2 linked regions of the Caenorhabditis elegans genome follow. The protein of the gene in region 1 purifies or fractionates together with the protein of each later gene. This does not show direct contact. Each region holds a gene or a part of one and is shown on either strand. Other genes may lie near its edges. The genes, in order: ccr-4 and ceh-99.

Region 1 (17,541 bases):
CGAATTAACGCGATATACGCGACGAAAATATGCAATAAAAGGTTGTTTTGGGTCAGTTTTAGTATTTTTAATCTAAAAAAATTCATTGGAGAATGTTTTAAATAAAATATTTTAATTTCAGTGATGTAATGTCATCAGGAGATATGACATCGGAGTACAAGGACAAACAAGGCGGAGGAGCTGGCCAGCCACTCACAAAGTCTGAAAACAACGATGGAAAAAAGACGTTAACCAATGGAATGAGTCGAGTACATCGAGTGTTAACTGAAGACGAAATTGCCAGTGGGAGATCAACACGGTGGACAGAACTTGAAATACACGGTAATCATTTTTGAAAATTGTTTCAATTTTTATTCGAGATATTTCCAGGTCGTGTGAAGAATCTATCACCGTCACTGTGGCAGTTGACACATCTTTCAGCTCTTTTTCTTAACAACAATGGACTGACACGGTTACCACCGGAGATTGCTCAGGTATCCGATTAGTGTGGAAATTATCTCCGGCGGTGGCACTTATTTTCATCGATTCTACAAAATGATCTAAACTTTGATGCTCCAACATTTTTCATTCAAAATTAGTGTCAAAAGATAGAAAATCATTCAGTTTATCTGAAAATAATATTTATTTCACCTGAAACATTTATGAAAATGCTCAAGAATTACCTGAAAGTGGCAAATTACCGGAAAAAAATTCGATGAATCGATACGACCATTTTGATTAATTTCCTGAATGTTCCAGCAGAAATTTTTTTTTTCAGAAAAAAATTTTTTTTTTTAAATATTTTGACACTAATTTCAAATAAAAATTGTTGGAGAACATGGGGCAGTAGGACATTTTGTAGAATTGCAAAAAAAAAGATTACCAAAAAACAAATCAGCATAATAAATATTATATTCTTTTATTCTTCATCTAAAATCTTCTTGAAAAATCCAATTTCATACCAAAAACCCATTTTTCAGTTGACAAATCTGACAATGCTCGACATATCGAACAACAAGCTCCGCTCACTTCCCACAGAACTTGGTGATATGATCAGTCTTTGTCATCTGTACCTGAACAATAATCAACTCCGTGTGCTGCCCTATGAGCTGGGAAAGCTTTTCCGGATTCAGACGCTCGGTCTGCAAGGAAATCCTTTGTCGCCGGAAATCAGCAAGATCTATCACGAGACCAACGGTGCGCAAAAGATATTGCAATTTCTACTCGATCACCTGACTAGTAAGTTTACTTTTTTACTTTTTGCTGTCAAAAAATAAGCGTTCGGTCTAGTGTTTGGAGCATAAAAACAAGATGCATCGTTCATCAAAGATTCCCGACGTCGACCTAGAATATATGATTTGAATTGACGTGCTTTTCCCTCCTGAATGTCTGACACATCTCAACTTTCACTTGTATCCCCCGAATGACGTAATAGTAGATAATTCTGCATTTCTTATAGTTTATTCACAATTCCCTCACTTGATTAGACAGAGAGGATGTTCGTTATCACTATTATCCGTGTTAGTTTGATTTCCCATGCCACAAACTACTTTCTCTTTCGGGGCATGTTTCTTCTTTCAAGTTGTGAAAGTGGTCATGAAAAAAGCATTGCCATACCAATACTTGAAGGGTGTTCGTGTTCATAATCGTAATCGAATCAGTAGAAAAAGTAACAGTGTAAACCGAGAAAATGGTGTTGAAAAATAATGCAGACAAGTTTTTAACTGGTTTCGTATATTTAAAAAATAGGTTCACAATATCATATAGTACGAAAACCAGTAGGAAACAAAATTGTAATAGGCTCGTAATAATTTATTATGCAGTACTATATGATTTTTGTGACACTACCAACGAAATGGCTCATATTTCCAAGAGAAAAAAGTGTTACCTGAAAATTAGAAGAACGAAACTAATTTTCATTAAAATGAAATAACTTACTCTAATAGTAAGTAATTCATTTTTTCATTCCGAAGAACACTTATCTCTTAAAACCTCCACGCAAATCTCGACATATCATGTTTAATGTGCCGGTGTGTCCAGCCATTCATCCAGTGTACATGAAAACGTTCTAAAAAAGAAGCGGCACACGAGTGTGAGAGATAAACCATAGAGACGCAGCAATGGTGGCGCAGTGACCACCACCGCCATACGTATACACGGTTTTTAGTTCGACGCTCGTCTGCGACTCATCGTCTCTAGCACTATTTAGCTCTTCGCTTATGATCATCTGTTCTTCTTACGTCCCCCGAGTCCTCCTCATATTCGCCTCGTTTTTTTCTACACGGCTTCTTCTTTCTCTGCCGTTCGTCGTTGCGAGGAAGGATCGAACAGTCTCCGCCCATTTCGGAAAAGTGTCTTCCCTCGTTGTATACGCCCTCCCCTTCGTGTGTTTGTGTCTCTGCAGCAGCCGGCGGCAGAAGCACATTGCATGAGTTTTAAACGGGAACAAGGCTCCGCCCTGACTAGCTTCCCATTTTGAGAGTATTCCCCCATTCTGCCTTTCACCAACGTCCTTTTCTTTTTACATCATATATTCCACCTGCTTTCCCTTTTCTTACTCCATTTCTCTTTTTTCATCCTTTAAACGTGCACCAACTCTGGCCATCCAAACTTACTATTCGAAAATGTACTGAAGTTCCCTCTGAAATATGGCCGACAGTGGAGACGGCGAATCGCCATCGAGAAGAAACTCCAGTGGAAAAAGATTTGTGAGACGAGCCAGAAGATGGGCTGAGCTGCTACAAAAACGACAAGGACGTCGAAATTGTGAGGAGAGCGAAAATCTATCAGCTCCGATAGATGCAAATTTTCAACAAGCTCATAAACATACAGCATTCAATAATCCATCGTCGCATAATCGAAATGGAATCAAGGATCAGAAGTATAGACCACCAGAGCCACCGCATGTTTATGATTATGTTGAAATGGCTGCTTTAGGAAGTGGTGTGATGGTTGTAGATGATGATCTTAATTATGAATTTCTGACACATGATGAATCCCGTCAAAAACAACATTTGGGACACACTCGAAGCTTCCCAATTACTATACTTCAATCAAGAAAACATGAGATTTCATCTGGATTATCACCAGCTTACGGATACAATACTCATCAAACTTGCCAACGAACCATATCGGATGCATACCATTATCAGGCTTATCATCAACCATCATATTCCAATCACCACACTTCTTGGTACGAGTATCAACAACCGTCAAATGCATCATTTATGAAACCGGTAGACAGTGCTCTCACACTGATAACCAATGATCTCTCTATGGCAAGTATCTCGGAAGCATCTACAACATCGCCGAGTTCGATCTCGAATAATTCTGAAGAAGATGTTTCACCACACTTTTTGAAAATGTCTTCTTCATTTCCAAAATCTTCAAGCTTCCCCTATCGAACAATGTCTGAGTCCCAATGTTTTCCATTCAATTTTCATGGTAAGTACGTGTTCATTCCCAAAGTTCAATAGGATTCAGCTAGTGAAAGTTGTATTCACTTGAGACAAATTTTACTACTATCTCACCACAATATTCATAAAGCTTAATCTTCTCTTCCTTCTGTTTCTTTTCTCCGATAGTTTTTTTCCAGATTGCTATCGTAAACATGTTCTGTTTTCACTTATCTATAGACAGTTCACTTAGATTGGCGGTTTTTTAGCTTTGACAAGCGTGACTGAAATAAAATTGTTACGAGCAATTGTGATTATAAAATATTCAGGTTGAATCTTGAGTTTGTTGGATTCCTAATTAAATTGTAAAATTTTAATCTCGAAATTTCCATCTATTCGATCTCTCTCCATATGTCTTCTACCTGAATCTCAGCTTCAGCTTCATCTTTTTCGCCGTTATCTCTGCGCATCTTTGGCATTGAAAAGTACGATCGGTCGATGGTGATTACGCCATATTTTGACGTAAGAGTGAGAGAGAAAGAGAAGCGGACGACAAAGAAGATATGGGGCGAACGTGTACGTTTATTTGTAGCATAATGGCAGGAAAAGGATGGCAATGGCAACGGTGTGTGTGTGTATGAGTGTGGACATCACGGCTTGACGGTAGTGATGGTGTGTGTATGTCTTAAGCGTTAACAAGTTTTTGTCGCCATTTTCGGACGGTGTCACATCCTTCCACATCTTCAGTGTGAATATGGTTGGCAGTTTAGAGACATTGGAAAGTCGGATTGTTTTGGTATCACTGATTGCGCGAGGACTGGCAGGAAGTGATATTAGAATGGATAAGCATTGACCAGGTGATTTGTGAGACACTGGAAGCTGTTTTCTGAGATAATTAGGAAAAATCTGATAGAAATGTTTGCAATGTTTCTTGATTTTCTCCGAAACAATAATCTAATAAATCGCAGTTTTTCTAATTACGGAGCACAGACATGTTCGAAGCATCGAAACAATGCACAAAAACGTGTTATTTACAAATGATCCTTTCACTCTCTCTTGAAGTGTGTTCTTCTCCCCCTTCGGATCACCAGCTCACCACCATCTATCCCAACAGGCAAAGAGAACACACCGTGTTTTGACGACGGTGAGAAGAGTGTTTTGGGTTGCCCTCCGGTGCACGATATGTTTACACACGGTTTCGAGCCGTCCGAGTCGATGGATGGATGAGGCCACCGGGTGGTGACGGCGCGTAGAACAAATTGGTCGTTTGAACATGGCGCTTGTGTCTGGGAATTTTTGTATGGAAAGATCAAATATAGAGCCTCTAATTTTCCACTTTGCAAAAACCTGAATATGAACAAAAAGAAACTAGTGAGGGATTTCAAATTACTGTAAAAAGTCAACTCCTCTTTTGATTATCCATATCCTCAGTTCATTTTGGATTTCCGTCGGTTTAGAAAACTGAAAATGAGAATAGAAAAAGATGAATAGGGAGAGTGCACTTGACACATTTCAATATTGGCGGCCTCTTCATCTTCAGTCCCGTTGATCGAACAATAAATTAAAATGGCACAGATGGTTATGCTGGTAATAAGTGTTTGAAAGAATTGAATAAGGGAAATCAGATAAAGAAGTTTTGAGTTCATAGTTTAGAGAAGCATTATTCATCCAAGTTTCAAGTTTCATAGAACCAATAAAAAATCACAATATGGCCGATATAATACTAGTGACCGCCCTTTTCACTTCTCCCGTATGTATCTTCGATGAATCCGCTCAACTAGTCATATTGTTTTTTTTTTGTCGCTTTCTGTGAGCGGTCATGAATAATTGCGAGTCGTTCATCGTCTTCTTCTTCTTTTTTTATATTCTTTCTCTTTTTCTACGCTTCGTTCTTTGTCACGAACGTTTACATAAAGAGACAGGGGGACGACGACATCTCTGAACGTATAATATTTGCCTCAAAAAGGAAATCGAGTGGGATTGAACACAGTAAAGCCCTAGGATGTCTAGTTAGGCCATCATAAAACGAAACGGAAATTGCCGGGGAAAATGTGAATATATTTTTGATGAAAAGGGAACTCTGTACAAACTATGAAATTTCAGTTAACACTCATCCTCCACCGGAACGAAACTGGGTAATGATCCGACATGCAGATCCGGAACGACCAATTGGTGAGTGAAAAAATATCAGAAGCATTGTTGAGCAGAAATTTCTTTGGAATTCATTTAAAAAAAAGCAGAGCAATATTTTTACTTTCTGAAAATAACCTTACTTTGAAATGAAATTCTGTAAAGTTGCTCAAAAACTGATTTATATTTGAGTCGGTTTTTGAGAAATTTGTAAAAAATTTAGAGCGATAGAGAAGTTATTATTCGAAAGTACGAATATTTCTATATAATTTTCCAAAAAGAAAAATGTGCCTCACATCTCTGATGCTGAATTTTCATTCAATTTATAATTTTTGTAGTACAATTAAATATTTAATTTTCAGCCACATTCACCGTTCTCTGCTACAATGTGCTGTGTGACAAGTACGCTACGGTCAATCAATATTCGTACTGTCCTTCCTGGGCTCTCAACTGGGAATACCGAAAAGGGCTCATCATAAAAGAGATCCGAACCTACGAAGCAGATGTGATCACGCTGCAAGAAGTTGAAACGGAACAATTCCGAACACTTTTCCAACCTGAACTCAAGCAACTTGGTTATGCTGGCATCTTTGAAGCCAAATCGCGTGCCAAGACAATGGGAGAAGAGGAACGAAAGTATGTGGATGGATGTGCAATCTTTTGGAAAGTTGACAAGTTTGATATGGACAAGCAATATCTGTTTGAATTTTCAAGTGTGGCGATGAAGAAGGCGTCTACGAGTGAGAATATGCTCAATCGTGTCATGCCAAGAGATAATATTGGATTGTGCGCTGTGCTGAAGATCAAGGAAAGCGTTTACGCTAACAGTGAGTTTTTTTTCTAAATTAAAAAAAAAACATTTGTTTTTTTTTGCAGAATTCCTGGGACGGATGCAAATTCCAATGAATGACAACGTGGTCGGAAATCCTCTTGTCGTCGCGACCGCTCATATTCATTGGGATCCTGAATTCTGTGATGTCAAATTGGTACAATCAATGATGCTTACTCATGAAGTATCAAGAGTACTCGAAGAAGTATCAAAGAAATATCAGATCACGCAACAACAAGTTCCAGTTCTCATATGTGGTGATTTCAATTCCCTTCCGGATTCTGGTGTCTTTGAATATCTTTCCAAAGGACAAATAACACGTCGTCATATGGATTTGAAGTCGTTCCGTGATGATTCTTGTCTTGAAAAGTTCACCAACTCGACGGACAAGAATGTGATCAGTCATCCCTTGAGGCTTGACTCGGCTTGTGACATTAATTCGATACCATTCACAAACTACACATTAGATTTCAAAGGAATGATTGATTACATTTTCGCAACACCACAGTCACTCGCGAGACTTGGAATACTTGGACCATTTGACCCACAGTGGGTTCAGTCGAATAAGATTCTTGGTGAGAAAATATACTTTTTTAAAAATAGTTCTCGATTTTTTGCTTGTTTAGATAAACTTAAAAACCGCCCAAATTAACGAATTTTGCAATGAGTCTTCTTTAAAAAAAAGTTTCTACGACGGTTCAAATTTTCTTTTAAAAAATGAGCTGATTTTTGCTAAAATCTCCAATTTTACTATTTTTTTATGTCACAGTGCTCCGTAATTAACTTTTATTTGATGATCATCCTTTATTGCATAGTTTAGTCGTTTGTCTCAAATTAGCGAAAACTACAGTAATTCTATAAATGACTACTGTATGTCTCGTGTCGATTTACGCTAATCATTTATTAATCTATAAAATATAAAAAGAAAACACAAAAATGGAAAAAAAAAACTAAAAATTAGAGGACAATTTAACATCGAAATTATTTTCCGACCGCTGCGACTCGAAAAAGTATCCAACATTGGAGTTTTAGCTAAAATTTGCCTTTTTCAAATATTGAAATCGACATAAAAATTGTTTAAACATTTTTTGAAAACTTTAATTTTGAAATTCGTTTATTCATGCGCATTCTGAGTATAATAATGCAAACAAATTTATCGGAAGTTCTCTTTTAAAAGTTTTCTAATTTCCTGTTTTCCAGGATTCCCTCATCCACATGTAGCATCTGATCATATTCCAATTATGGCTCAATATGCAATCATACCAACAACACATCAACGACAGCAACCACTTCAACAGGCTGGTCCTGCAGCTGGTGTAATTGGAGGAGGATTTCCATCAACACCTTCAGGAGCCCAACCATTCCTGAGGTGCTGACCCCATCATCATCTGCAATGTTCTTCAATTCGTGTACAACTGGCTCTCCCTCTCTTCCCTCACCATTCTGTCTCATACCTCAATTTGTGTGCTCTTGTATCTGCCCCACTCTCTCCCTCTCTTCATATAAAAAACTTACGTAGAGTCCTTCGTAATTACGATTGATAACTCGTTTGAATTGTGATATATTTGAATTATGTTCCATCGCCGCGCATTTTCATACTTTTCTTTTGTTCCTACGAGTTCTCCCTCTTCCCTCGATCCGACCCTTTTATTTCCCTCACTTCATTTCTTATCTGTTAGTTTTTCTTTTTCTCCTTTTGATCAGTTTTATTGAGTATATTTTGGTAGCCCCTGGGGTGTTCGATTCTTTTTATTCCACTCAAAACATTTTCATATTTTTTCCGTTTTTTCGATTGTCTTCGATTTCTTCATGGAAGAGTCTATTTTTCCATTCTATTCCATTTAGTCCCCCTCTCGTCTCTTTTTCTTCTCTTTGTAGTAGATCCCCTCTGTTTCGTGACTCGTATACTGAGGGTTTCACGGCGAAATGGTCTCGCAACGATCGGTTACGGTGTAGGTGTGCAGTGTGAGAGGAGGGAGAGAGTGTACGAGAACGTGAGGCGCAGATTACTTTCAGTTTGAAAAAAATAATGAAATCTCGTTATTTGTGCAATTCGATCTAGCTTTTTGCTCCCGACACGCTTCTTTTCATTCATGAAATGTGTTCGAAAAGAAATGTCGGAAGCGATCAGATCGAACATGCAAGATTACTGAGATTGAATTTTTTGTATCGAATTTTTAAAAAAACTCGATGAGTTTTCCAGAAGCCGGAGGTATACGAGATGCGCGCGATGCTCGCTGGTCGAGTTTCTCTACCTGACCTCTCCTCTCGTTGTGTGCTATTTCACCGTCTATATTCCAATAACTACCTACAATAATACCTTATTTCCGTTTCTGGTCCTATGTATAGTTAAAGACTTACTTTTTGGCATTCTTCACCCTCTGCTTCCTTCTCTCTCTCTCACAAACTCTCCCACACTCTCGTCCAAGTTGCGTGTTTCTGCTTTGAATTCTTTGTTATCGGTCTCGGATATAACGTTTCTCCTATTGTATTCATCATCTTAATTTTTAAAACTATTAGTTAAACAAAAATAAGAACAATATTTCAAAAATCAACTTTCCCCTTTTGTCTCATCGAATGAAACATTTTTTTCGTCATGTAACTTGTTCTTTTTACATTGAAAAATGGAGCACAAAATTATATACAGGAATTTGCAGTGTGAGTTTGCAGTGGTTTGCAATGGATTTGCAGTGAGAACAGGAATTTGCAGAAAGAAACATTTTTTAAGAAAATTTCCACTCTGAGACTCCTGACAGGAAAAAAAATTTAGATTAAAGAAAACTAGAATTTGAACTACCGCAAAAATTAGGGATACGGTAGACAAAAGTGTGCAAACACGCCAGCAGGTTTTTGCGGACGCGGCATTTTAGATGACGACAACCGTTTTAGATGAAGATTTCTCGTTTTGTTTCTTGCATTCGCTGTTGCCTATTTAAAACATATATTTTCTAATAGTTTTATATTACTTTTTGTAGAAATAATTAAAGTTAATTATTTTACAGTAATGCCGCCAATCAAAAGATCCAAGCCAGATGGTGGAGTCAAGAAAATCTCGATCACGGCTACCGATGTCACACCTGCAAAGGGTGTGGAGGAGAAAATGAGCTGGAAAGAGTATAAAAAGATGAAGCAGCATACTGGCGGTGGAACACGAAATAAGTTAAAGAAGAAGCAGAGGCCTCCAACTGAGAATACAGAAGGAAGAGCTAAAAAGCCAAAAGTGTTAACAAAAGAGCAGCTTGAACGACATGATACAGGAGCAGACCAAATTGATCCATCTTCGATGCGTTCAAAGCTTCAACAGGAAAAAATGAAAGTGACGAAGGACAAGTTTCAGAGAAGAATTGAAGCTACCGCTAAAGCCGAGAAACGTCTTGTTGAAAATGTGAGTTGTTCCATTGCTACTCAAATATTCACAAAATATAATTTCAGACCGGATTCGTAGCCCCCGACGAGGAGGATCACTCGCTGACCTACAGCATCCGACAGAAAGATATCGCTGAATCAGTTGATTTGGCTGCAGCCACAAAACATTTCGAGTTGAAATTGCCACGATTCGGACCATATCACATTGATTATACGGATAATGGAAGGCATTTAGTGATTGGAGGACGAAAAGGACATTTGGCAGCACTTGATTGGCAAACCAAGCATCTTCATTTTGAGCAAAGTGTGATGGAGAAGGTTTCCGATGTGAAGTAGGTTATGGCGTCCAAATTTCTAAAACTGTTTTACGCTGAGACCTCTTTTTTTCGCTGATTGAAGTGCTTTTTTGTGCCTATAAGTCACACAATACCACCGAATTTGGGCAAAATGCACCTCAATCAACTTAATAAAAGCGTATTTTGTTAAAAGGAAATTTTCAAGATGATTTTGTAAAAAATTCGGTAGCTTTAGAACATATGGATGCTAATTACACGTTTAATTACATTTGTTAAACATTAATAACAACGATTAATTTCAGATTTCTTCATACGGAAAACTTCATCGCAGTCGCCCAAAAAAACTATACTTATGTATACGACAACTTGGGTACAGAACTTCATTGCCTGAAAACCATGTACGACACAGCTCGCCTCGAATTTCTTCCCCATCATTTTCTGCTCGTCGGCTCTTCGCGAAATTCGTTCCTTAACTACGTGGATGTGTCTGTTGGAAAACAAGTTGCCTCGTTTGCAACGAAATCTGGAACTCTTGATGTGATGTGTCAGAATCCGGCAAATGCCATTATTCACACTGGACACACAAATGGAACCGTGTCCTTGTGGTCTCCCAACTCAAAAGAACCACTTGTCAAGATTTTGACTCATTTGAGCGCAGTCAAAGGAATTGCTGTTGATGATCAGGGAAATTATATGGCGACCACGGGTCTCGACAGGAAATGTCGTATTTGGGATGTTCGAATGTTCCGTCAACTTCATGCATATTCACTACCATTTGGAGTGTCGAACGTGGCAATTTCTCAAAAAATGAACGTTGCCTGTGCAGTTGGAAACCATGTACAAGTGTTCCGTGGAATGCATAATGGGACGTGTAAAGAGCCGTATTTGGTGCACAATTGTGGAGGTGTGGTCACTGATTTACGATTTGTTCCATGGGAAGATGTGCTCGGAATTGGACACGCAGGCGGATTCACGAGTATGTTGGTGCCAGGGGCAGGAGATCCGAACGTTGATACGCTCAGATCTAATCCGTACGAAACGAAATCACAGAGAAAGGAAAGAGAAATCAAACAATTGTTGGATAAGGTATGGAATTTATTTTATTCGATTTTGATATTTGAAGTCTGGATGTCAAAAACTCTATTTTTTATGATTTTATCATGAAAATCGAAAGCACCTCACCAATAAAAAAGAAACCTTTAAAAAATTTTCTCCAAAAAAATCTTGATTTCTCTATATTTCATGAAAACTTTAGTTACAAAATTATGTTCAATCTCGAAAAAAATGAGATTTTTTTTGAAAATTTATTTCAGACTACTTGGTTCTAAATTTCACAAAAGTTTTCCACGGAAAATTCGGAGTTTTCTTATACTACAGCAATTTAGAAGACCCTTCTTTGGCAAGCGAAAAAAATTTTTGCAAAAATTGTAATGCTAACTAAATTCTAATTTTCAGATTCAACCGGAGCTCATCAGTCTTAACCCAGACGACATTAACAAGGTCAATGAGGGACTTCTCGAGTTGGAAGAGGAAGAACGAAAGAAGATTCTCTACATTCGTCCGATGGCTGTTCAATATACGCCACGTCACAAGATGCGCAGCAAGAAGAGTGGTTGGAAGATGGAGGCTCGTAAGAATATTGTCAAGGATCAGATTCGAATGGAACGGAATATGGAGAAACATGCGGTGGAGAAGGAAGTTTTTGAAGCACCGGAAGTGGATGACGAGGCTCCGAAAAAGAAACACATTCTGGATCGTCTCAAATAGAAGGATAATCAATTTTATTTTTTGTTGTTGTTGATTTTGCGTTATTTTCGTTTTGTTTTTACTGAATTTTTGAAATTATTTCTTTAAAAGATTTGACATTTGGAAATTTATGAAACGAAGGAAAAAACAAACAGTAAAATAAAAAAGTAGAAACTAGTATGTATTTTATTCGTAATCTTCCTCTTCTCCCTCCTCATCATACTCTTCCTCATCCTCAAAGTCTTCTTCAACCTCGTAGTTCTCCTCCTCTTCATAATCTTCTTCCCCTTCCTCTTCTTTCATAAGATCGTCATTCTTCTTCTGAAGATCCGCAATGATCTTCTTCTGGGCTTCCAACTGCCCCGTCGTCTCGATCATCATCGCCTGGATCTTCAACGTGAGCGCCTCTTCGAATCGATGCTTGTCCTCCAGCTCTTCAAGCCGTTTCATATAGACTTCAGTGAGCTTGTTCGCATCGTCGACCTGTTTCGTGAGGCTCTCGATGGCCATCGTCTTTTTCTTGGATTCTCTAGCAGCACTGTCCAATGCATTAATCGTCAATCTCAAAACACCCTCTGGTGGAATACCAGTTTTCGCTGCTGGCATCAAATTTTTGATTCTGAAAAGTGTTACTTTTTGCATTTGTGCTTGTTATTATGGGGACGCAAAAAATGGTTTTTTGAAATCATCAAGGCACAAGCGCGCTCCAATGATGGGTCTCATTAGGTATTGGCAGGAAACTCGTAAATTCAAACGTTTTTGTTGTTATTATCGATTTTAATGTCGAAATGGTCTTTAAAGATGCATTTGAATAAGGGTTTCTCGTGTATTTTACATGATTTGTTTCGACATAGAAATAGTGGAAAAACTCTTGAAAAAATTTGAATTTCTGATTTTGCCTTCGCCAATACCTAACGAGACCCAACTTTAGAGGCGTTGCGTTTTAACTTGGGTAGGCTCCGAAACTCACCGTTTTTCATTCTCAGGATCTGTGCTCTCACCAAGGTTAGCCACAAGTAATTCGATTCTCAAGAATGTCTGATATGACCTGAAAAAATAATTCGATAAATTTTAGGAACTCAAATTCTTAAAAACTCACTCATCAATTTTCGCATCCCTTTTCTGCTGTGCTTCCCTCAAAAGTTTCTCCAATCGACCAATTTCCTCATTTGCTACTTGTTTTCCTTCTTTCGTCTCCTTTTCAAGATCCGAAATTCTTTCCGTGGCAACTCTCAATTTCTCACTCAAACATTCCACATATTCGACATTCGAATCAGTCTTCTTCGCATCGAAAAGCTCTTTTCGTTGCTCCAAAAACTTTTCAGTGAGCACTTTGAATTGCAAGTTCTTCGCGGCAAGCTCGGTTTGCACATTGCGGAGTTCGATCGAAGCCATTATTTGAATATTACAGACAGAAAAAGGGTGACAACCAGTCGATAGGGACCTGTGCGAGTGAAATGAGACAAGAAGAGGAGCACTGCTAATAGATGGTATCTACCGTAGCAGTTGACCTTTCCAAGAGGTAGACACGTCATCATTGTCTGACATACTATGTTTGCTCTCTCTCTCTCTCTCTATATGGTCTCGAAGGGAAGGAGATTAGGTCATAGGAGACGTTTATTGGAATGAAACACTTCATTAAAAAGGGTAATTAGTGAACTAGATGAGCTAAATGCATATTCAAATTTGTAAAAGGCCACCTAAAATGTTATGCATTGTCAAGAGAAATGGCAGTACTACCTAAACTGTGGCTGTGAAAATTATCTGGATTAATTTTTTGAAACCTAAAGAACGGTCATTGATAGTCAGAACTTTAGTTAATATATTTTTCTTGCATTTTTACATTTTTTGGGTAAAAAAAGGTGTCATGTTCAAAGTTTCCATTAGTTTTCAATATCTGAAGCTCTTTTTACCAAACGTTGAATCAAAAATAGGTGACAGACATTATTCCAATTTCAATTACCAACTTGTATTCTAGGCATTTTCTTTCTGCTACAAACTTTCTGCAACACTTTTTTTTGTGAATATTAACCAAAAAGTTGGCATGACAGACGCCGAATTAAATAGTTGATTGGTCAGATAACTGTATCTTTTTTCTCATGTTATCAGTGAAGCAAGAATCAAAAACTTTCAATAAACCGAAAATAGTTCATTCGAAAAAAAAATTATCTAGAAATTTCAGTTAAGTTTTTGGTAAAAAATTCAAAAATTCAACAAAATTGAACGGTATACGACGAAGGTTTCAAGCACACGAACATTGTTGAGTTGTCAAATGGATAAGTGTATGCACCTGGACATGCATTCTTGAACATCTTCGTTGTAGAGCTCATTGTGCATTTATCTGGAGAATCATACTCCCCACGGCAGCATTCCTTATCAGTTCCATATCCAAGACATCCAGATTTACACCCAACAGTGTAACCTGAACTACTCTTCACTGCAAGTTCTGTAGGGCATGCAGCATTTACATCAGAGATGCATCCACCGGCTCTTTGACATCCCAACCCATCAATTAACATTGGGAGATTGTAACCATCGATTAGATTAACTGCATAAAAGTCTCTTCCAGCCCAAGATTTCAAATTGAATTCTGCGACAGATGCGGGTGGAGTTCCTGTCCTTCCATTGCATTGTTCTGCGTTCTGGAAAAAGTGTAAAACTCTCAAACCTTTTTCATTTTTTTTCAAGACTTCGGGTATTCCCAATTTCGGATGTTTTGAAACTTATTCAGTATATGCGTGTGAATTCTGCGAAACGTTTGAAACTTCCTGTCAACATTTACTGTTGAGAAGCTTGCCCAAAGTTTGGCAGAAAGTAGCAAAAATTTGGCAAAAAGATTATATAGTTTCGACGACCGTAAAACGTGCCCAGAGTTTGACAGAAAAAAGACCAAAAATTTGCCCGAAAATGAAAATGTATTTTGGTAATAGATTTTGGAATATTCATCAAAAAAAAAATGATGTACGTCCTTGACAATTCACGACTTTCAGATATTCTAGAACATCTAAAGTACTTTTTCGTATTTCCCTTTTACACAATTTTTTGGCTGAACTTAAAAAATTGTTCAAAATGTTTTGATCAAATATCCCCAAGTGTTTATTTGTTTCAAAACTTCCATAGAAACTTATACTTTCAAAATGATACACTGTTAAAGTATAGATCTATAGACTTCAAAAAAGTTACATTCAAACTACGGAAAACTCACCAAACAAGTTCCAGTCTCACAATTGAAATCTCCATCACATCCAGTCCGTGCCCAAATCTTTCCATTTCTCCAATCATCATCCACATTTAAATACTTTGCCGCCCACGCATCTATTATTATAGACTACGATTGTCCGGCTGTTCACAGTGAGGAGCAGAGATATAAGTAGAATCCAGATGGAAATCATCTGAAATTTTAAATAATTGCTGATCGATTATGTTTATAAAAATTGTTTGCAAAAATATTCGTAAAAGACTACTGTAGTCAACTTCCCGTAATGTAAAGTGTCTTCCTTACATACTTTCCTTTCCGATAACAAAAGTTTGTCCAATTTTGAACCAACTGTAGCATTGTTCCTTAAATACTCCTCTAGCTGATCTAAAGACCAATCGAGTTCGCACCGCCCGTTTATTTTCAATTGAACATTTCCTGCAGAAACTCCACTGCTTTCTGTACCCATCGCATTTTTCTCAATTCATGGAGTTGATTCCATTTCTGATTACCTTCTGATTGGGACAAATTCGTTATCAGTGAACAGTTCAAAATGAAAGTAAATACGAAATGAGAAGATTATAAAGATTTTTAAAAAGAATTCACCGGAAATGGGCAGAAGAAAACCACGTGGATCGATCAAACGGAAGGTTTCCAACAACTGTTTGTTGGAACATTTTGGATCTAGAGGTCAGATACACTACTGCTACCGCAAAACTCTAATTTGATGACCCAATCTTAGGCGTTTCCTATTTTTAGGTTAACCAATGATTTATGTTTGCAAATAATTTTCCTAACAAATTTTTTTCGGTGCCATGAAATTTCCGTTTAAAAAATTTTATGGATTCCTTTACTCATTTAAACTTCCATACATGTGTAAAAAATTAAAAATATATTATGCAATCGTTTGAAATAGGAAACGGTCAGATTTTGACTTTTGTATGGCAGGTATTCTCCAGAAATTACATTTGCAGTCAATTGATACCGCTCTTCCACATGTTGAATGAAATATGTGATTCCATCTTTGTTCGGAGTTTGTGTTCATTCAGAGATCGCTTTTCCTCGCTTTCGATATGTATGTAGATGTGACTAAAAAAACTTAAATTCAGAATTTCAGAAGTATTCGCTCCCGGAATTCAAACTTTAACATAAATTGAACTCAAACTTGCTCTCTCAAAACATAAAACATTTTTGGTATCAAATTGTGGCTCTAGAACTTTTTAACACTTCTTTCCAGGCGCTTGTTATCTATCACGAGAAGCAATACTGAAACCACAAATCAATTTTATTGATAACAAAACGAGAGTCGTCCAATTTTTGTATGTTCTAGGAAAAGTGCATCTGAAAATAATAGTCTATGGAATTGTAATTTGCTAAGATTAGAACAGCACTCGAATCTGACCCTGGCTAAACCTAAAGTATTAAATACAAAATGTTCATATGGAAATATTGAATCAGAGTTCAAAATTGGATTGTTATTAGAGCTGTGTGGGTTTGTTTACAGTCCTTCAAAAGTTCACATGTCGACATAAATGTCAAATAAAATAAAGCTGCGGAAGCATGACTGGTTGGCGAAAACAAGTGGCAAATATGGTTTTTAAAATTTTCCAGTAAGGCAACAGTTCCATGGAGGTTTCAGGAAGTGACAGGAAGGGGATAAGTCTCGATCGGGTAGGAGATCTATTTTACATACTTCAACTGATATTTAGAAGGCTAACCTTTTTACATGTTTGGAAATCGAAAATTGCAGTTTGTTGCTGATCGTTTGTTTCCCCAAGAATATCACAATTTTGAAAGTTGGGGTACTGTATTTCCAGGTTCTTTTCAAACATTTTAAAGACAACCAATTTATAAACTTCAATCTAGAAAAATATAGTGCAAGACTTACGAGATGAACACTGTCTCAATGTTATTTTACAAGTACGGATTCCTTTCAAAAACAAATGAGCAAGAGATCCAATTCCTCAGCTTATACACAAATATTACTCAAGGGCCAAACAAGTTTGCTGACTCACTTCATCTTCTTTTGACTTCCTATCAATCACCCCCAGTCTCCACCTTTCATTTCCTAAACCTTACGGCCCAAAAAACAGAAAATTGAAGAATCAGAAATTATCGCGCGATGGGCGGAGCTTTTGTGCTATAAAAGAGCCTGTGAGCCAAAGAAATTAAACAGTTCAGTTGAACATTCAAGTTTTCTGCTTCTTATCATAGCTCCTCAAAAATATTCAATTTTTCAGTTCTCAGTAATGGCGCTCATCAAGCTTACTCTCGCTGTACTTCTTCTGGCTCTCGGAGCCGAAGCCCGCAAAATCACTATCTACAACAAGTGCCCATTCACCATCTGGCCAGGAATTCTCGGCCCCGGAAATCCATCTGGAGGTGGTTTCAAGCTCAATGCTGGACAATCTAGAGATATCAATGTCGATGATGCATGGACTGCCGGAAGAGTTTGGGCAAGAACTGGATGTGATGGAAACTTCAACTGTGAGACCGGATTCTGCAGAGTAAGTGCATAGCTCAATTTTCCAGGATTAATTTTTTAGCATGAACTTTCAGAACTCGGAGCAATGTAACGGAGCTGGAGGAGTTCCACCAGCATCC
Region 2 (16,215 bases), on another chromosome or scaffold:
GGGTAGTTTAGGGAATTTGAATTTCTGGTACACGATATCCCAGATCTTGTTCTCATTTTTCATAATTCCCTATTCATTTTCCCCGTATATGGCTTCATTTTCCGCTGGATTTTGTTCCGATCTAGGCGTTCCAACAGCGATTCAGTTGTTCACAATGTTCACGATAAGTTCTGGTGAGTTAGTTATTTATATAAATTGAAAATTTTGAAACCTTCCAGTTGTACAAGTATCTATAATTATGCTATTCAAAAATCGGAGTAATTTTATCAAGGGCAACAAGTTTCAATTATCACGAAATTTCTATAAAACTATATGGATATCCGTAAACTTTTTCGGGAGAATTTTCCCCTTAACCCCTATTTATTTCAATCTTCCAGAGCAGACAGCGGCAAAAATGCACATTTTGAAGGTGGTGGTACCGTGAAGTGTCGGCCGCTTCTAAAAGTACAACCTTTTTTATTCCAGACTCTCCCATGCCCGACCAAAGAATTCTTCTTGGAACCAGTGCTCGTCTTCGCTTCCGGTGGCTTCTGGGAAACCTATCAAACCAGAGCTCGCAGTATAATTAATGCATTGACAACATTTCAAATTCTATTCTTCTCTGCAACATGTATTTATTACCTCTTCATATCCAAATCATCCCATGTTTCGGCTCAAACTCGGCGGCTCCAAATCCGCTCGTTTTTCATCTTAATTATTCAAGTTTTCATACCGATAATGTTCATCATGATCCCTGTGATGATTACGTTGAATAGATCAAAACGTAACGTGCATGATCAGATGAATAATAGTATCATGACAATTTCCTTCGTTAGTCATAGTGGAGTGGCGAGTCTTGCGATATTGTTAGTGCATGCTCCTTATCGGAAATTTCTGATGTCAATGTTCAGAAAAGAGCAAAAAGTTCAAATTAGTCATGCTTCTAGTAATTTTTCATTGGTTGTGAGGGTTTGAAAATATTTCAATAAAAATATTTCGGAGCAGCCGACATTTTACGAGTAATTCATGTCTTATAGCGGCCGGTAGTTTGCGGGCCGAAATGTTTTGGAGCGGCCGACGCATTACGGTCTGTTGAAATGGAAGAGTTTCCAAAACTAGGCCACTTTGGCTCGGCCACATCTGGGGTAGATTTACGGCGCGTTGCGTGTCGCGTCGCGGCTCGGTTCTTGTTGTAAAACTAAATGTGAGCGCGAAAAATTCAATGAGGAAGGCCAGAACCCCGTGTATTATTTATATATCGAAGTCTCCATTAATAGTGAGTTTAACACTTTATAAAAAACTAGCATTTCGAACTTCACTAATAAAAAACGATTTCAAAAATGTTCTATAAGGCTGATGTACAATAAGAATTACAAAATTTGCAGCTCCATTATGGGCCACATAAAAAATCATGACAATATTATTCTTCGTCTGATTGTACTCTGGTCCTTTGGTTAGAAATATAGTAAACGGAATTAAGACCAACAGGATTGGAACAAAAGTTTGAATGATAATTCCGATGAAAAATCGAATTTGTAGTCGCCGAGTTTGATTTGACATTGAGATTTTTCCGCTTTTCACGAATAGGTAATATATACAGCAGGAGGAGAAAAATAGTACTTGTAAGCCGGTGGCTAACAATATCAGCTTGAACGATGATGTTAAGTAGGTGTCCCAAAATGTGCCGGGGGTGAACACAACACTTGGTTCCAGAAAGTATTTTTTGGTAGGGCAGGGTATTGTCTGAAAAATTTTTTTGTTGTTATAAACAACAAACTACAAAGTGAAACACTCACTTTCAATAAATGAAGTATAGCTTTTCCTTGCTCCGGAAGATTAAGAAATACTGGAGTGAAAACTGCGAAGTTGCCAAGAATGTTCAGGAAAATCCAAATAACTCGATACAGATTTATTGAGAAACGGAACTTATTTTCCAATATCATACTGCTTCGATTTTCGAATAATAGGATAATTGAAATTAACATGGCTGAAAACTGATTCAAAATTTAAGTGTTTATAACCAGTACTTACCGGAGTTGATCGCGAAAACTATATAGAATTGCACTGAAGTTGGAACATGAAGATCTGTTCCAAATCCTGCTGAGATGCTAGCACTATGTGGATAAAAGTTGAATGGGGTGAAGAAAAATGAAAGAGTAATCTGAGAAGTTGTACACCAAAACCACAAATTGATCAAACTATTTTTCACATTACTCATTTCTTTTGGGGTCTTAAAGAGAATACAGTAGCCTGTTAGCACATGAATTGGTAGAGAAACCACTCCAATTGTACGGCAGACCTGAGCCAAGCCTTCTTTTGATGCTAAAAATCGACTTTCTGGGGAACAAATTGAAGGGTATGCTGACAAATTCATCGTTCGGCTAAAATAACCACAGATCAAATAACATAGCTCAGGAAATAAAGAATTTGATATGCGGGAAAAATGGGCTAAAGGATAATGAGATGAGATAATGAGAGAGAGAGAGATGCACATTATAAACGCATTAGACGCTCAGGACAAGTGACGTTGTTTTTCTTGCTGGGTTTCATTCTTTAATTTTTTTTAACTACAAAAAGTTTAGTAATAAAATATTAGAGCGTAATAAAAATTAAAAATTAAATAAGAATGAAATAGATAATTGTTTATTTCATAAATTCCCTTGAAACAAAAACAATATAATTTTGCCTCTCCCGAACAATAAGTGATTTCAGGAATTTTCGATATGGAGCATGTGCAAGTAGAATTGACAAACTAGCAACTCCGTTATGCATCAGGAAAAGTATCACCATCTGATTATTTTGCACCTGACTGTACCCTTGTTTCTCTTTTGTCATCGTTGCGGTAATTGGTATAATCACAAATAATAGCGGAATAAGGGTTTGTATTGTGATTGCCCAGAATGAACGAAGCTGGAATTTTCGTGTCGTTGAAGAAATTTGTGTGGTTGTAGAAAAGACCAAGTAGTATATACAACATGCGGAGAAAAATGTCATCTCAAATATGGCGATAGAGAACATGAAAACGTAAGAAAAAATAATGTAGGTTTCCGAAAAACCGTCAAATGCTAATATTAATGTTGATGGTTCGAAGAAGTCTTCGGCTGGACAGGGAAGGGTCTGAAAAAACATTTTGCTGATATACGGGATTGGGTTCATGGGTGACAAAAAAAGTTCAAATTTTAATTCGCAGCTGGCATGTTGCGGGCCACATAAAATGCAGCCGACACTTCACGAGATTTTTTTTATTACTAAACCAGCAGCTGACCGCGCCACCTGCGCGGCCAACGGCTGGCGAATTTCAAACTATTAGACATGCATATGTCATTTACCATACACCGGCCCCAGCCTCTTAAGTTCAAAACTGATATTTCCCAAAACTACAAAAACGGACGGAACTCTACTTTATATATAGTAAATGATGTGTAACTGTAAATGTAAATGCACTGTAACCGACTATTTTTTTTAAAGGAAAAAACTTGTACACTCACCTTCAAAACCTCAATTTTCACCTCAAACTGATCCTGAAGATTGAATAATTGAAACGTTGGAAAACTCAAAATACCAATTACATTTACACAAATAAATACAACTCTAGAGGGAACTTTGTCAATTTTCAATCTATTTAGTATAATAGAACTGCTACGATTCTCAAATAACATGATAAGGAAAAAGAGATTTCCTGCAAATTTTAGAAATATTTGAACATTACCGAACCCTTGAATAAAATACCTGCGTTTCCAATCAAAATTATATAAAATTGAATAACAACGGGAATGCCAATTTGGGTGCCCAACCCAATAAAGGATAATGCCTTATAGGGAAAATAAACGTAAGGAACTTCGATGAAAGAAAAAATAATTTGGGAAACTATGAACCAAAAAATTAAATTTGTAAGGCTTTGCTTCACAGAGCTCATCGTCCCCGGTGTTTTCTTCAGAATACAGTAGATTGTCGAAATTTGAATTGGCAGGGATATCAAACCGATTAGAGCGCATGTAAAATTCATACCATTTTCGGATACAAGAAATGGATTTTCCACTACACAAATGGGTTTGAGCAGCTCAATGGACATTGTCGAAATAAAAAGTGAGCTCAAGAATTCTATACGAAAATTGAATTTTTGATTTTAATAAAGGCGTCCCGTCTCACTGTTCTGACCATGAGTAAGCTAATTATTTTTCAACTAGACACCAAATTTTACGCTTGACGAGGTTTTTTTGATCATGGAAACCAGATTTGAATAGTATGACGTCTTACGACTTGATGAATCGGAATGTCATTAACGGATAACGATAAATTCACTGACAAAATTGTGGTTTGGTTTAACGCTATGCTCACTAAAACAGTGAAAATATGCCCAATAAAAGTAACTTATGTGTGCTTGTGTTTGTATAAATAATCCTCTTTATTGTTAGATTTGACTGAACGCAATTTTCGTTTCTTTCATAAAACATGACAATATAAATGTTCTATAAGGCTGATGTACCAAAATAATAGACATGCTTGCAATAGCACTGTAAGACACAAATGATATTCCGGTAATATTATTCTTTATCTGGTCGTACGCTTCATGCTTCTGCTGGCTCAGAAATATTGTCAATGGGATCACAACCAATAAAATCGGGATAAAAGTTTGAATGATAAGTCCAATGAAGGAACGAATTTGATACTGCCGAGTTTGAAGTGATATTGTGGTTTTTGAAATGCATAGGTAGTATATGCAACACGATGAGAAAAATATAACTTGAAGTCCAGACACCAGGCGGGTGATTTTGAAGGAGTTTGCGATGAAGGTCTCCCAATATGGGTCGATGGTGAATACGGTGGTCGAGGTTGCGAAGAATTCTTTGGTGGGACAGGGGAATGTCTGGAATACGTTTATTATTTGTCTACTGTATGTTGATAAAAATTAATGCCCACCTTTAAGATATCTAACTTCGCTTTGTTTTGCTCGGGAATAATAAATGTCATAGGGGCTAAGCAGGCTATGCCCACTAAAAAGTTGCTCGCAATCCAACACACTTGACTTCGAGTTTTTGAAATCCGAAACTTGTTTTTAAATATCAAACTGCTTCGATTCTCGAATAAAATCACGACTGCCATCATGTTTGCTGTAAATTTTACGATTCTATGGCAGTTTTCTCTCACTTTCAGCTGACCAGCATCAATGGCAAAAATTATATACAGTTGAATAATGGTTGGAATATTCAAGTCCGTACCAAATCCTGCGGAGAAGCCAGCCATATACGGTAAATAGTAGAAGGGGGTGAAGAAAAAAGAGACCATTATTTGAGAAAGTGAGCACCAAAACCACAAATTGATCAGACTATTCCTCACCGGTCTCATTTCTTCGGGGGTCTTGAAAAGAATACAGTAACCTGTTAGAAAGTGAATTGGCAGGGAGATGACTCCAATAGAACGGCATGTATTTGTATATCCAGCTTTGGTTGCGAAATATCGATTTTCCATAGGGCAAATTATTGGATAAATAGTTGTAAAGTAGAATGTTAAATTCATTATATTCACAAAAATATTTTTCAGAAGCTATCTGAAGCTTTTTCATGAAATGAACGTTGTTTAATGAATGCAAAAAAAAGCGCTAACAAGCATATCTCTTATTTTTCATTGGAATTCGAAATGAGCAGCATGATTGAGCTAATTAGAGATAGACAAGATAATGTTCTAGGCTCTTCAAAATTGACTGCATAGTCAGTTCCGTGAAGAAAACCCGAAATCTGCAAGTCTCCACTTCCCTTCAAACCTGTACTTATTCCTATAAACTGTGAGCACAAAATATCACAAGGTGCTTTCCAACTTGTTATCACTAGTTTTATGAGTGATAGTACATTTCTGTAAAAGGCTTTTCGAAAGAAAGAGAATCAATTGCCTGTCAATTTGAAATTTAAAACATTGACATTCAAGTTTGCCGGTTTCTCGGTTTTTTTCTTCAAAATGAAAGTGTTTGAGAAAATGGTCAAAGCTGCCAACTGAGGAAAAAAAACGAGCAAGAAATATTGGAATATTGGGAAGTAAACGGAATTTAAGGAAATTGAGCAAACGGGCAAATCGGGTGAATTGGATGAAATGGCAAGTTTGGGAAAGTTGGACAAACATAAGAATTGAGAAAACTGATATATAGTGCAAATCGGGCAAGTCCGGCAAAATGGACAAAGTGGGCAAACTGAAGAGCAAGCATGTAAACTAAATAAGGTAAATGGGCAAATTAAACAAGCCAGGAAAAACAGGCTCACAGGTGAGCTGGAAAATTGATTTAACAGTGAACGCTGTAAAACTAGACGATTCGGAAAATTTGAACTCTGTAAAAAATTGCAATACTGCCGAAAAAATCTATGAAATGCAACGATTATTAAATTAAATTAAACAAAATGTCCCAAAGTTTCGGGAAAAAAGACATAAACGGCGGCAAAGGGGCCAATTTTACAGCTTTGGGAAATTGATGACAAAACTAGCTAGGACAATGATTTTTATGTGCACAATGAGCCCAATCTACATTTTCTCCCGATACCCTCAGATTTTCAATGTTTCCAGAAACTTCTTATATTCGTTCATCTAGCCCAAAATCCTTATCACTGCTACAAAAACTATTCCATTCAAAAAACGGCTGTCAGTGCTAGGCACATGCCCCTTTCTTTCTCGTACACGTCAATCAGTGCCACGTAGTCTCGACGCAGAAATCTGTCAAAATCGACCTATAAAACTGGGAGCGATGGCGCTGAGATGCTGATACTGATAAGCGAAGGGGTTTCTTTGTGGCGTTTGGTAGGAACACACAAAGAGCCCCGGAGGACAAAGAGCTCTTATCAGTGGATGCTCCGCGCCGCTCCCATTGTTCGTTTCGCTTTCAGTTCACTTATTCTGAAATTAATTTTTTTGCTGCCTATCTATATTCTGGTAAGTTTTTTTTTGCATCTGCCAAACCGCCCGTTTGGATGGTTGTGCTCTGAGGAAATACGCACAGAATGTCATTTCATCAGGCCATAGCTGTCCAAATTGGTATAGAGTTTGGAATGTTGAATCAGTTATTGGAGTTAGACAAAGGTAGAGTTTTTCATCATTTTAAAATGATATGCATACCTGACGTTCAAAAAATTGTTTGAAGCTTTTAAATTTAGCGGAAAAGTGTACACAAGAAGTTGATCCAAAAGGTCATTCCAGTCCGATTTTTGTGGACTTTTCTAGAAAATTGTGTAAAAAATACGCACAGTAATATTTTATGAAACAGTAACTAACGATAGTTAGCGTTACATGGGTTTTTGACATTGTCAAAAACTTTCGTCCAATTTCTGACAATCCTCACCACTCTTTTCACGTTGGAATTTTGATTCAAATATCTAACCTTTTACTCAAAAAAAATTGTTTTTGAATATATTAATTTTGACCTCCTAGATCACCTTTTATATATACCTCATCTTTTTTGAATTTGACCTCTTCCCGCCGTGTACACCTGGATGCAATGATGGCCGTCCGGCAATATGAAAAAGAGTGTGAAAATTGAGGAGAGTGGCAGACAAATACAACGCCAGTTTACACCGACAATATTACCGGTACAGAGAGTGTAGATAGTTAGAGAGTGACAGACATCCAGGATCCAATGGGGCGGGGCGCGCGGAAGAGACGATTTGTGTCGATTTACGAAATTTTCCTCGTTGTCATCATTTCGTAAATCGAGACAAATCGTCGTCTCTTCCGCGCGCCCCGCCCCATTGGGTCCCGGATGTCTGTCACTCTCTAACTATCAACACTCTCTGTACCGGTAATATCGACGCAGCATTTTTTTTTATTTTGTGGTATATTATTCCAAATTGTCAAAGGTAAATTATACGCCTTTATTTTTTTGTCAAATACTAGAATGGCACCTTCTTACTCGAGGAATACAAAAAATTCAAAGAAGACGGCACCGATATCTGCTGAGGAAAAACACAAGATTCTTGAAGAAGAATTTGCAAAAAGTCCGTATCGAGGACAAAGGAATTTGGAGTTGTGTGCAATGTTCAATATGACTAGGAGAAGGGTGAGTTTTTTTCCTAGAAATTTGAGAAACTTTTGTCTTATTTTTCATTGATTTTCTAATAGTAATTTTTCTAATAGTAATGTCTAAAATTAGGCCACAAATAGAACTTCTTATCTTTTTAACCGAATTTTTTGAAACGTTCTAATAATAATTTCTCTAAGAGTCGCTCAACTTCGGGCAACTTTTGTTAAACTTCTGATTTTTGAAATTTTTTAAAGTTGACAAAACCACGCGGTGTCAAGCTGTCCCATCACGGTTTGATCTACAAAAAATGCGGGAATTTTTTGCCCAATAAAATGTAACGTCAGCACGTTCTTAACCATGCAAAATCAGTTGAGAACTCTGCGTCTCTTCTCCCGAATTTTTTGTAGATCTACAGTGCTGGCCAAAAAGATATCCACTTTTGGTTTTTTGTGTGTAACTTTTTTCTCAAGCATCCATTTGACTTGAATTTTTCCGTGTGCATAAAGCGAAATGTTACGCAAATTTGCGGACCAAACATTACATGATTATCGATTTTTTCTGAATTTTATTTCAATTTTTTGATTTTTTCGTTTTTCCAATTTTCATTATTTTTTTTGAATTATCAATAAAACGCACTCTGTTTGTTGCACTGGATTTGTTTGGTTGATAAATTATTTTTAAGGTATGGTAAAATCTGTTGGGTGTAAAAATCTTTCCTTGGACGTCAAGAAAGCCATTGTAGCTGGCTTCGAACAAGGAATACCCACGAAAATGCTCGCGCTGCAAATTCAACGTTCTCCGTCGACTATTTGGAAAGTAATCAAGAAGTACCAAACTGAGGTGAGTTCGAAAAATATTATTTTTTAATAATAAATGTTTAGAAATCCGTCGCTTTGAGAATCTCGCCCGGCAGGCCTCGAGTGACAACCCATAGGATGGATCGCAACATCCTCCGATCAGCAAGAGAAGATCCGCATAGGACCGCCACGGATATTCAAATGATTATAAGTTCTCCAAATGAACCTGTACCAAGTAAACGAACTGTTCGTCGACGTTTACAGCAAGCAGGACTACACGGACGAAAGCCAGTCAAGAAACCGTTCATCAGTAAGAAAAATCGCATGGCTCGAGTTGCGTGGGCAAAAGCGCATCTTCGTTGGGGACGTCAGGAATGGGCTAAACACATCTGGTCTGACGAAAGCAAGTTCAATTTGTTCGGGAGTGATGGAAATTCCTGGGTACGTCGTCCTGTTGGCTCTAGGTACTCTCCAAAGTATCAATGCCCAACCGTTAAGCATGGAGGTGGGAGCGTCATGGTGTGGGGGTGCTTCACCAGCACTTCCATGGGCCCACTAAGGAGAATCCAAAGCATTATGGATCGTTTTCAATACGAAAACATCTTGGAAACTACAATGCGACCCTGGGCACTTCAAAATGTGGGCCGTGGCTTCGTGTTTCAGCAGGATAACGATCCTAAGCATACTTCTCTTCATGTGCGTTCCTGGTTTCAACGTCGTCGTGTGCATTTGCTCGATTGGCCAAGTCAGTCTCCGGACTTGAATCCAATAGAGCATTTGTGGGAAGAGTTGGAAAGACGTCTTGGAGGTATTCGGGCTTCAAATGCAGATGCCAAATTCAACCAGTTGGAAAACGCTTGGAAAGCTATCCCCATGTCAGTTATTCACAAGCTGATCGACTCGATGCCACGTCGTTGTCAAGCTGTTATTGATGCAAACGGATACGCGACAAAGTATTAAGCATAATTATGTTGTTTTTAAATCCAATTGCTCATATTCCGGTACTTTAATTGTCATTTCCTTGCAACCTCGGTTTTTTCAATATTTCTAGTTTTTCGATTTTTTTGAATTTTTCTGAAGTTTTTTCAAAATCTGTTGAACATTTTTGATGAATATTGTGTTTTTAGATTTTGTGAACACTGTGGTGAAGTTTCAAAACAAAATAACCACTTAGAAAAAAGTTACACACAAAAAACCAAAAGTGGATATCTTTTTGGCCAGCACTGTACGTAGATCAAGACGAAATGAGACACTCTGACACCACGTGAAAAATCAAAAAATTTGAAATATTTGCATATTATTAAAATTAGTTTTTTTTTCTAAATTCTATTTATTTTCCCCCATGCTCTTTTCCAGCTCGATGCCTGGTTCTACAATAGAAGAATTAACGCAGGAATCGCGACAGGAACCCCAGGTCTATCACATTCCACAGAAGTTCTCAAGATTCTCGAAAATGCGTTCAAAACTCACCAATATGTAACTCGAGAGCTCACAAAGGAACTGACGGAAAAGGCAGGGCTCAATGAGAAGCAAATTTGGTTTTGGTACAGAAAACGACGAGCAAAAGCTGAAGCTGCTCATAAAACAGGCGCCGAGTTGCCATTCCAGATGAAGTTACTTGAAATAGCATATGCAGAGGATCCAGGGTTCACAAAGGAAACACTTAATAGATTGAAAGAGGAAGGAGGGTTAGAAAGTAAGGATGTAAGTTTAGTTCCATGAAATCCCCGTATATTTTCAAATTTTACAGATCTCGGCCTACTTCTCCGCACAAAACGAACGAGCAAAGTTTTCGAAACATAAGGATGCGGAGAAAAATGAGCAGGAGTACTTAGCGCAGAAAAAGGTCTATACATGACTGTTTTAAGTAAAAAGTTAAGAATTTTCAGATAAAAGATAGGGAAAAGTTTGAGAGACATTCTGAAAGCGCTGTTAAACTTTTCAAGGAGACATTCTCGAAATTTCAATTTCCCAACGATAGCCTGATAGCTGAACTCATAGAAAAAACGCAAATAGAAGGAGTAAAGGTTTTTTATAATTTAGCGGTAACGTTAAAAAACGTTTTTTTCAGATTCGCAGATGGTTCACACGAGCTAGAGAAACAGCCATGAAGGCCTATAAAAATAATGGTACCCCGCTGCCGCTTGGAATGAAGGAACGACAGAAGGAGATGGAAACAATTGGAAATGCGACAAAGAGGATAAGGACTTCTGCAGGAGCTGATGCCGTAAGTCTTTGCTCAATCGTTATACCTATGAACATGACGGTTTAAGGATCTTTCAACAACATCTTCTCGAAGCAAGAAAGACAAGAAAAGTAAACAAACTGAGCAGCGGGAGCCAAATGAAGAGCCACGATCTCCGAGTATTGAGGTTTTTTGAGCTCTGAGGTGGAGTTTCAAATAAATTAAGACTTTTGTTTTCAGAACAATCAGCCACACTGTTCAACTTCCGATCCATCAGCCGAGAGCAATTTAAACAGCCATTGTAATAAGGGAGCTCGCGATGTGAGTTTTCTGAGGCTTCCATGGGAGTAGGCGTAGTTTCCGGGACCTGGTGCTCACCTGAAACCTGTCTGAAACCAAGTAGTGGGTGAAGGAGACTACAATCCAGGGGTGCGCGGCAATTGGAAATTTCCGGCAATTTTGGCAATTGACGGTTTTCAAAATTTCCGCCAGTCAGCAATTTCGACAAACGCCAAAAATTCCGATATTGCCGAAAAATCGGTTGCCGCGCACCCCTGCTACAAGCGTCCCACAACCTAGATATGGGCTTAATGGATTAAACTTTTGACATTTTCCAGGCTAAACTCAGAAAACGACACAGAGCGTTGCCAGAGTCTTCAATTCTCAGTGAACCAGCTGTAAGGGTAATGGCTAGTGTGGAGGAAGTAAAAGTAAGTTAGCAGGTTCATAAGACGCAAAAGTGCAAATATGTATTTCAGCAAGAACCTATCGATGGTTCTCTCCAAGATCCTGGAAACCGAGGAGACAGGGATTGGAGGTCTTGGACGGTAAGTTTTTAAGGCAAAAGTTCCATCCCCGAAACCTAGAAATTTCAGCACTCCCAAGTCATGGAATGGATGGACCAAATAATTCCCCGCTCGGCGCAGACTTCCTTTCGAGAAGAGCAGATTGAAGGCTCGTCGATGGCCGATTTTCTCAATCAGACTATCGGAGGGCTTTGCAGAATTCGAGCTCGGAATCCGCGTCTCACAACGGAACATTTCAAGGCGCTGGGGGAGCAGATGAAGTTGCTGGAGCCGAACTTTAGAAATGTGGCATTGTGATCATTATTTATTCTTTACAATTTACAAATTAGAATGAAACTTTAACGAAATTGAAATATCGGGCTCTTTTCGATTTTTTTCAAAATTCATACTTATAGCTTCATGAAAAATTCTCGTAGCTGGGCTTCTGAGATTTATGATTTTTGATGGTTCTGAAATTATTATTTTGTTTTGGTAAAATTGCTCCGTGAGCTCAATTTTTGTGTTTATTTCAGGCGATTCAAGCTTAGAAACCGGCAAAGCCTTTGTCGTAGAATTCTCACTTTTTTTAAATTTTGACGCTGCTCTTTTCTATAAAATATGCAAAATTCAAATTTTTACAAAAACCTAAACTCCAAATTTGATTTTATTTACCAAAAATCAAAACTATCACCACAAATCCAATAAAAACACAGAAAATCACAGTAACGAGGAGAAGAGCGATTATCGTACGAGCATCTATTTCCGATGGTGGTTCAGCATCTTTTGCAGATTCCGGCAGGCTCACCATTATTGGGCTTGACATGATCGGGCTTGACATGAATAGAAAATTGCATGAAAATTCAAGGTTCCTGATGAGTTTTTATATCATTTTGATTTTTTCGAATTTCTATAGAATCAGGAGAAGCGTCTTGTGACTTTAATTGAACAATTGAAAATGTTTTTTTGGAGGGGGTGATTCAGAATTTTTTCAATTTGTTGTTTCCTAAAACGTTTCAAATATCAGGAAGTCAAGCTTGATGTTTTAACTATAACAATTGGGAATTTTAAGAAAAAAAGAGGCGAGAAGTGGGCGGAAAACGATTTTTTCTGGCAAACCGACAAATCGGCAAATTGCCGGAATTGAAATGTCCTGCAAATCGGCAAACCGGCAAAATACCAATTTGCCGAATTTGCCGAAAGTTTTTTGCAAATTGAAAACGGGAAAAAATTCAAAAAATCACAGTTTTAAGTTTTTCCGTCTTATAAAAATATCCCTCTAAACGCTTCCGGCAAATTGATATCCGGAAACGGCAAATCGGCAATTTCCCGAAAATTGCCGAAATTGAAAATGTCCGGCAAATTGGCAAACCGACAAATTGCCGAAAATTAAATTTTTCGGCACATCGGCAAACCGGCAATGTTCCGATTTGCCGAACGGCAATTGCCGCCTACCCATAGCTTGCCCATTTATTTGACAAAAAAAAAGTGAACTGTAGAACTTTGCAGCGCCCGACATTTCCCGGTTTCCGCAATGTAAAACATTTTGTTCCTACATACATGAGTGAGTAAGCGATTTGGACACCTTTTTTTTTGAGCGTTGATTGAATTGGTTTTTTTTTGGCAGAATATTAATATAAATTCAGTGACACCTAAGATTACGCATAGGGGGGGGGGGGGCGCTAATTGCAATTTTTACTCACTGGACACTGCAACTACCTTGAAAATGAGTTCTGTTTTGGACGAGTTTTTATATTCGGAATTTTCAACTCCAAGTACCCGAACTGTATCGGCTGTTATGCTAATTGTGGTGAAGCTCTAGAGTTAGAAAAAAACGAAATAAATGCTTCCAAATTCCAGGTCAGTATAATTGGCTCTATAATGAACGTGCTAATTTTCATCGCAACCTTTTTCCGGGTTACAAAACGAGATGGGTTTCTGAAAATTTGCTGCTTCAATAGTTTTGGCAGCTGTATAGTTTGCATTGGGTATTTGGCTTTTCCGGTTCCAAGTCTTTTACTGTAAGTTCATCAAAGCTTCATATGATCCTTAATACACAAAATTTTGCAGTGAAGACCCTCCAAATCACTGGCTAAATGCGGCGATGGGCCAATTTATAGCGTGGTTCGGGTGGAGTATAGGCCCGCTGTCTCAAATTTTGCTAACCGTCAATCGAATCATAGCCGTCTATTTTCCATTGTTATACATGAAAAAGTATCGGTATAACCCTACAAATGTGAGTTTTTTAGTTGAAGGGAATTAACAGGGTGAACTTGAAATTTTAGGTCGGTATTGGATTTTCTTTTTTTGTTGCTTTCATCCTTCTGGTTTCATTTTTTCCAGGTAAGAGTTTAAGACTTATTGCTCACCATTTCAAAAATTCTAGTAAACCGGAAACAGGAGACGGTACTTGTGTATTACATGCCCTCATTTTAATGGTTATTTTTTTAAGTTTTGGAAAATAAAAACGTGAACCACACTTTCGTATTTTTAGGCTTAGGAAATAACATTTTGTAAGCCTGAAGAGGAAAAATGTATATCACGTTTAATTTAATTGGAGGAATTAATGAAAATATAATTTAATTTAAAAATGAGGGCATGTAATACACAAGTACCCAGGAGACCACAAACCATAAAAGCCTAAATTTCTAAATTTCCAGAAGGCTGCCACTACCTTTTCAATCGTGACTATCTCGGTTGGGTCGGCGAGTTCACTCCGTGCATTGATATTATGCAAAAGACGTTTTTGGTCGTTATGATGACGATTTGCGCCTTAACGACGTGTTGCAGTGTTTTGCTTTTCATCAAGTTGATCATACATTCCGTGAGCTTTTGGTTCCGCGTTTTGGGGGCTAGTTTTGGCAGCAAAAATCTTTTCGAATCTTTTGGTTCTATGTTTTTTAGCGAATGTAGTTTGTAGTCTAGAGTTTGTAGTTTGTAGTTTTTACCTTGTAGTTTGTAGTTCTTCCTTTGTAGTTTGTAGCTTATAACTTATAGTTTCCAGTTCAAAATTCAAGTAGTGTTCAAGTGGTAATGTGATGTTGACACCAGCGAAATTCAATTTTTGATTTTTCCAAAAAAAATTTGCAATATTCGGGATTGTGCTAGAAATTTCTAGACACTTGTAAAAAATTCTAGAAAATTTTTGAATTATTTGGAGAGTTCTGGAAACTTTTGAACAATTCTCGAAACTTCTGAAATCCTCTGGAAAATTCGAGAAATTTTTTTCTCTAATTTACAATTATTGAGAAATAAAATGCTTTAGTTTGTAACTTTTAGTTTATAGTTTGTAGTTTGGAGTTTGTAGTTTGTATTTTCTAGTTTGTAGTTCAGAGCCCCCTTCTTCTTTCATTTCCCATTTTCAGCCCAATTTCCGCGTTTCAAATGCTCAACTTGCAAATCGCCATAGAAAAAATCGGAAACTAATAATTCAAGCAATTGTTCAAAGCATCCTTATTATAGTTGACTCACTGAACTCTACAATAACCTATAACCTATTTCCAAATTTATTTTTTCAATTCATAACTCTATCATTTTCAATGGTGTTTTTGAGAACTCTGGAGGGGTAGGTGAAGCTGAAAGCTTTCCAATTTTAAGACGTTGTTGTTTTCAGGTTCGTAGTATTTTCCATCAATGAAACGATCAATGAAGAAGTGAAGAAAATGCTCCGAATGAAGAGTTCTGCAAGTAATGTGTTCATCGTGCCGAAGAGATCGATGTCCACTGGCCAGCGAAATTATGCTCGGCAATCGCAGTCAATTCCATAGAATTTGTCAAAAAAAAAAAACACTTTTTTGTTTTGTTTTGTTTTGTTTTCCAGTACCGAATAATATTTTGATTCATTAATAAATTCTCACAGTTGATGTAGGTTCGCAGAATTCAATTAAAATTGTGGATGGTGATGTCAAAATTTCGGATTTATAAAATCACTAGGAACAAAAAAATTTTGGCGGCTACAATTTTGCAAAAAACCTCATTCCGCTTGAGTTACTTTAAAGAACACTTCCTTCTTCATAATTTGCGATAAAAGCGTGATATAGAGCCATTTCACGCATGCTCATCACGCATTTTGTACCTTTTTTTTAAAGTTCTTAGAAATGTTATAAACGTTTACTTCTGGGCTGTAGTAGTTCTTCAATTCCAGAATGTCATCTTCAAACAGTTCCTCCTTTTTGGACGATTTTCTACATTCTCAATATTCTACCCCCAACACCCGCACTGTTTCGGCAATAATGCTCATTTTAGTGAGACGCTTCAGAATTTTAAGTCAGAATTAAAAAAAAAATCAATTTCTAGGTTAGCACAATTGGATCCGCCATAAATGCACTTATTTTCATCACCACACTTTCTCGACTCACGAAACACGATGGATTTCTGAAAATTTGCTGTTTCAATAGCTTCGGGAGCAGTGTGGTTTGCATTGGGTACTTGGTTTTCCCGGTTCCAACATTGTTATTGTAAGTTGGAAATTGCCAC

Evidence for each region.
Region 2: the proteins of ccr-4 (region 1) and ceh-99 fractionate together in Caenorhabditis elegans (co-fractionation; one large-scale study listed by BioGRID). This does not show direct contact.

What each region holds. Positions count from the first base shown.
Region 1 is NC_003282.8:12,362,918-12,380,458, forward strand, and holds ccr-4 (poly(A)-specific ribonuclease), read left to right. Parts: upstream 1-2,356; 5' UTR 2,357-2,627; coding exon 2,628-3,423; intron 3,424-5,477; coding exon 5,478-5,546; intron 5,547-5,866; coding exon 5,867-6,331; intron 6,332-6,380; coding exon 6,381-6,908; intron 6,909-7,533; coding exon 7,534-7,709; 3' UTR 7,710-8,935; downstream 8,936-17,541. Other genes in the region: wdr-46 (WD repeat-containing protein 46), read left to right, coding at 9,338-9,718, 9,766-10,031, 10,298-11,081, 11,451-11,762; Protein atz-1, read right to left, coding at 11,928-12,360, 12,712-12,789, 12,841-13,136; thn-1 (Pathogenesis-related protein 5-like), read left to right, coding at 17,187-17,444, 17,497-17,541.
Region 2 is NC_003280.10:12,512,363-12,528,577, forward strand, and holds ceh-99 (Homeobox domain-containing protein), read left to right. Parts: upstream 1-7,618; 5' UTR 7,619-7,849; coding exon 7,850-8,011; intron 8,012-10,128; coding exon 10,129-10,476; intron 10,477-10,522; coding exon 10,523-10,618; intron 10,619-10,661; coding exon 10,662-10,799; intron 10,800-10,843; coding exon 10,844-10,999; intron 11,000-11,045; coding exon 11,046-11,144; intron 11,145-11,197; coding exon 11,198-11,278; intron 11,279-11,574; coding exon 11,575-11,667; intron 11,668-11,715; coding exon 11,716-11,784; intron 11,785-11,832; coding exon 11,833-12,060; 3' UTR 12,061-12,116; downstream 12,117-16,215. Other genes in the region: srh-73 (Serpentine Receptor, class H), read left to right, coding at 1-173, 219-409, 466-954; srh-69 (Serpentine Receptor, class H), read right to left, coding at 1,270-1,722, 1,776-1,966, 2,011-2,353; srh-61 (Serpentine Receptor, class H), read right to left, coding at 2,623-3,096, 3,468-3,658, 3,709-4,051; srh-70 (Serpentine Receptor, class H), read right to left, coding at 4,391-4,846, 4,900-5,090, 5,139-5,496; srx-118 (7TM GPCR serpentine receptor class x (Srx) domain-containing protein), read left to right, coding at 13,466-13,549, 13,600-13,760, 13,810-13,975, 14,025-14,082, 14,400-14,563, 15,105-15,304, 15,353-15,506; srx-119 (7TM GPCR serpentine receptor class x (Srx) domain-containing protein), read left to right, coding at 15,885-15,983, 16,036-16,196.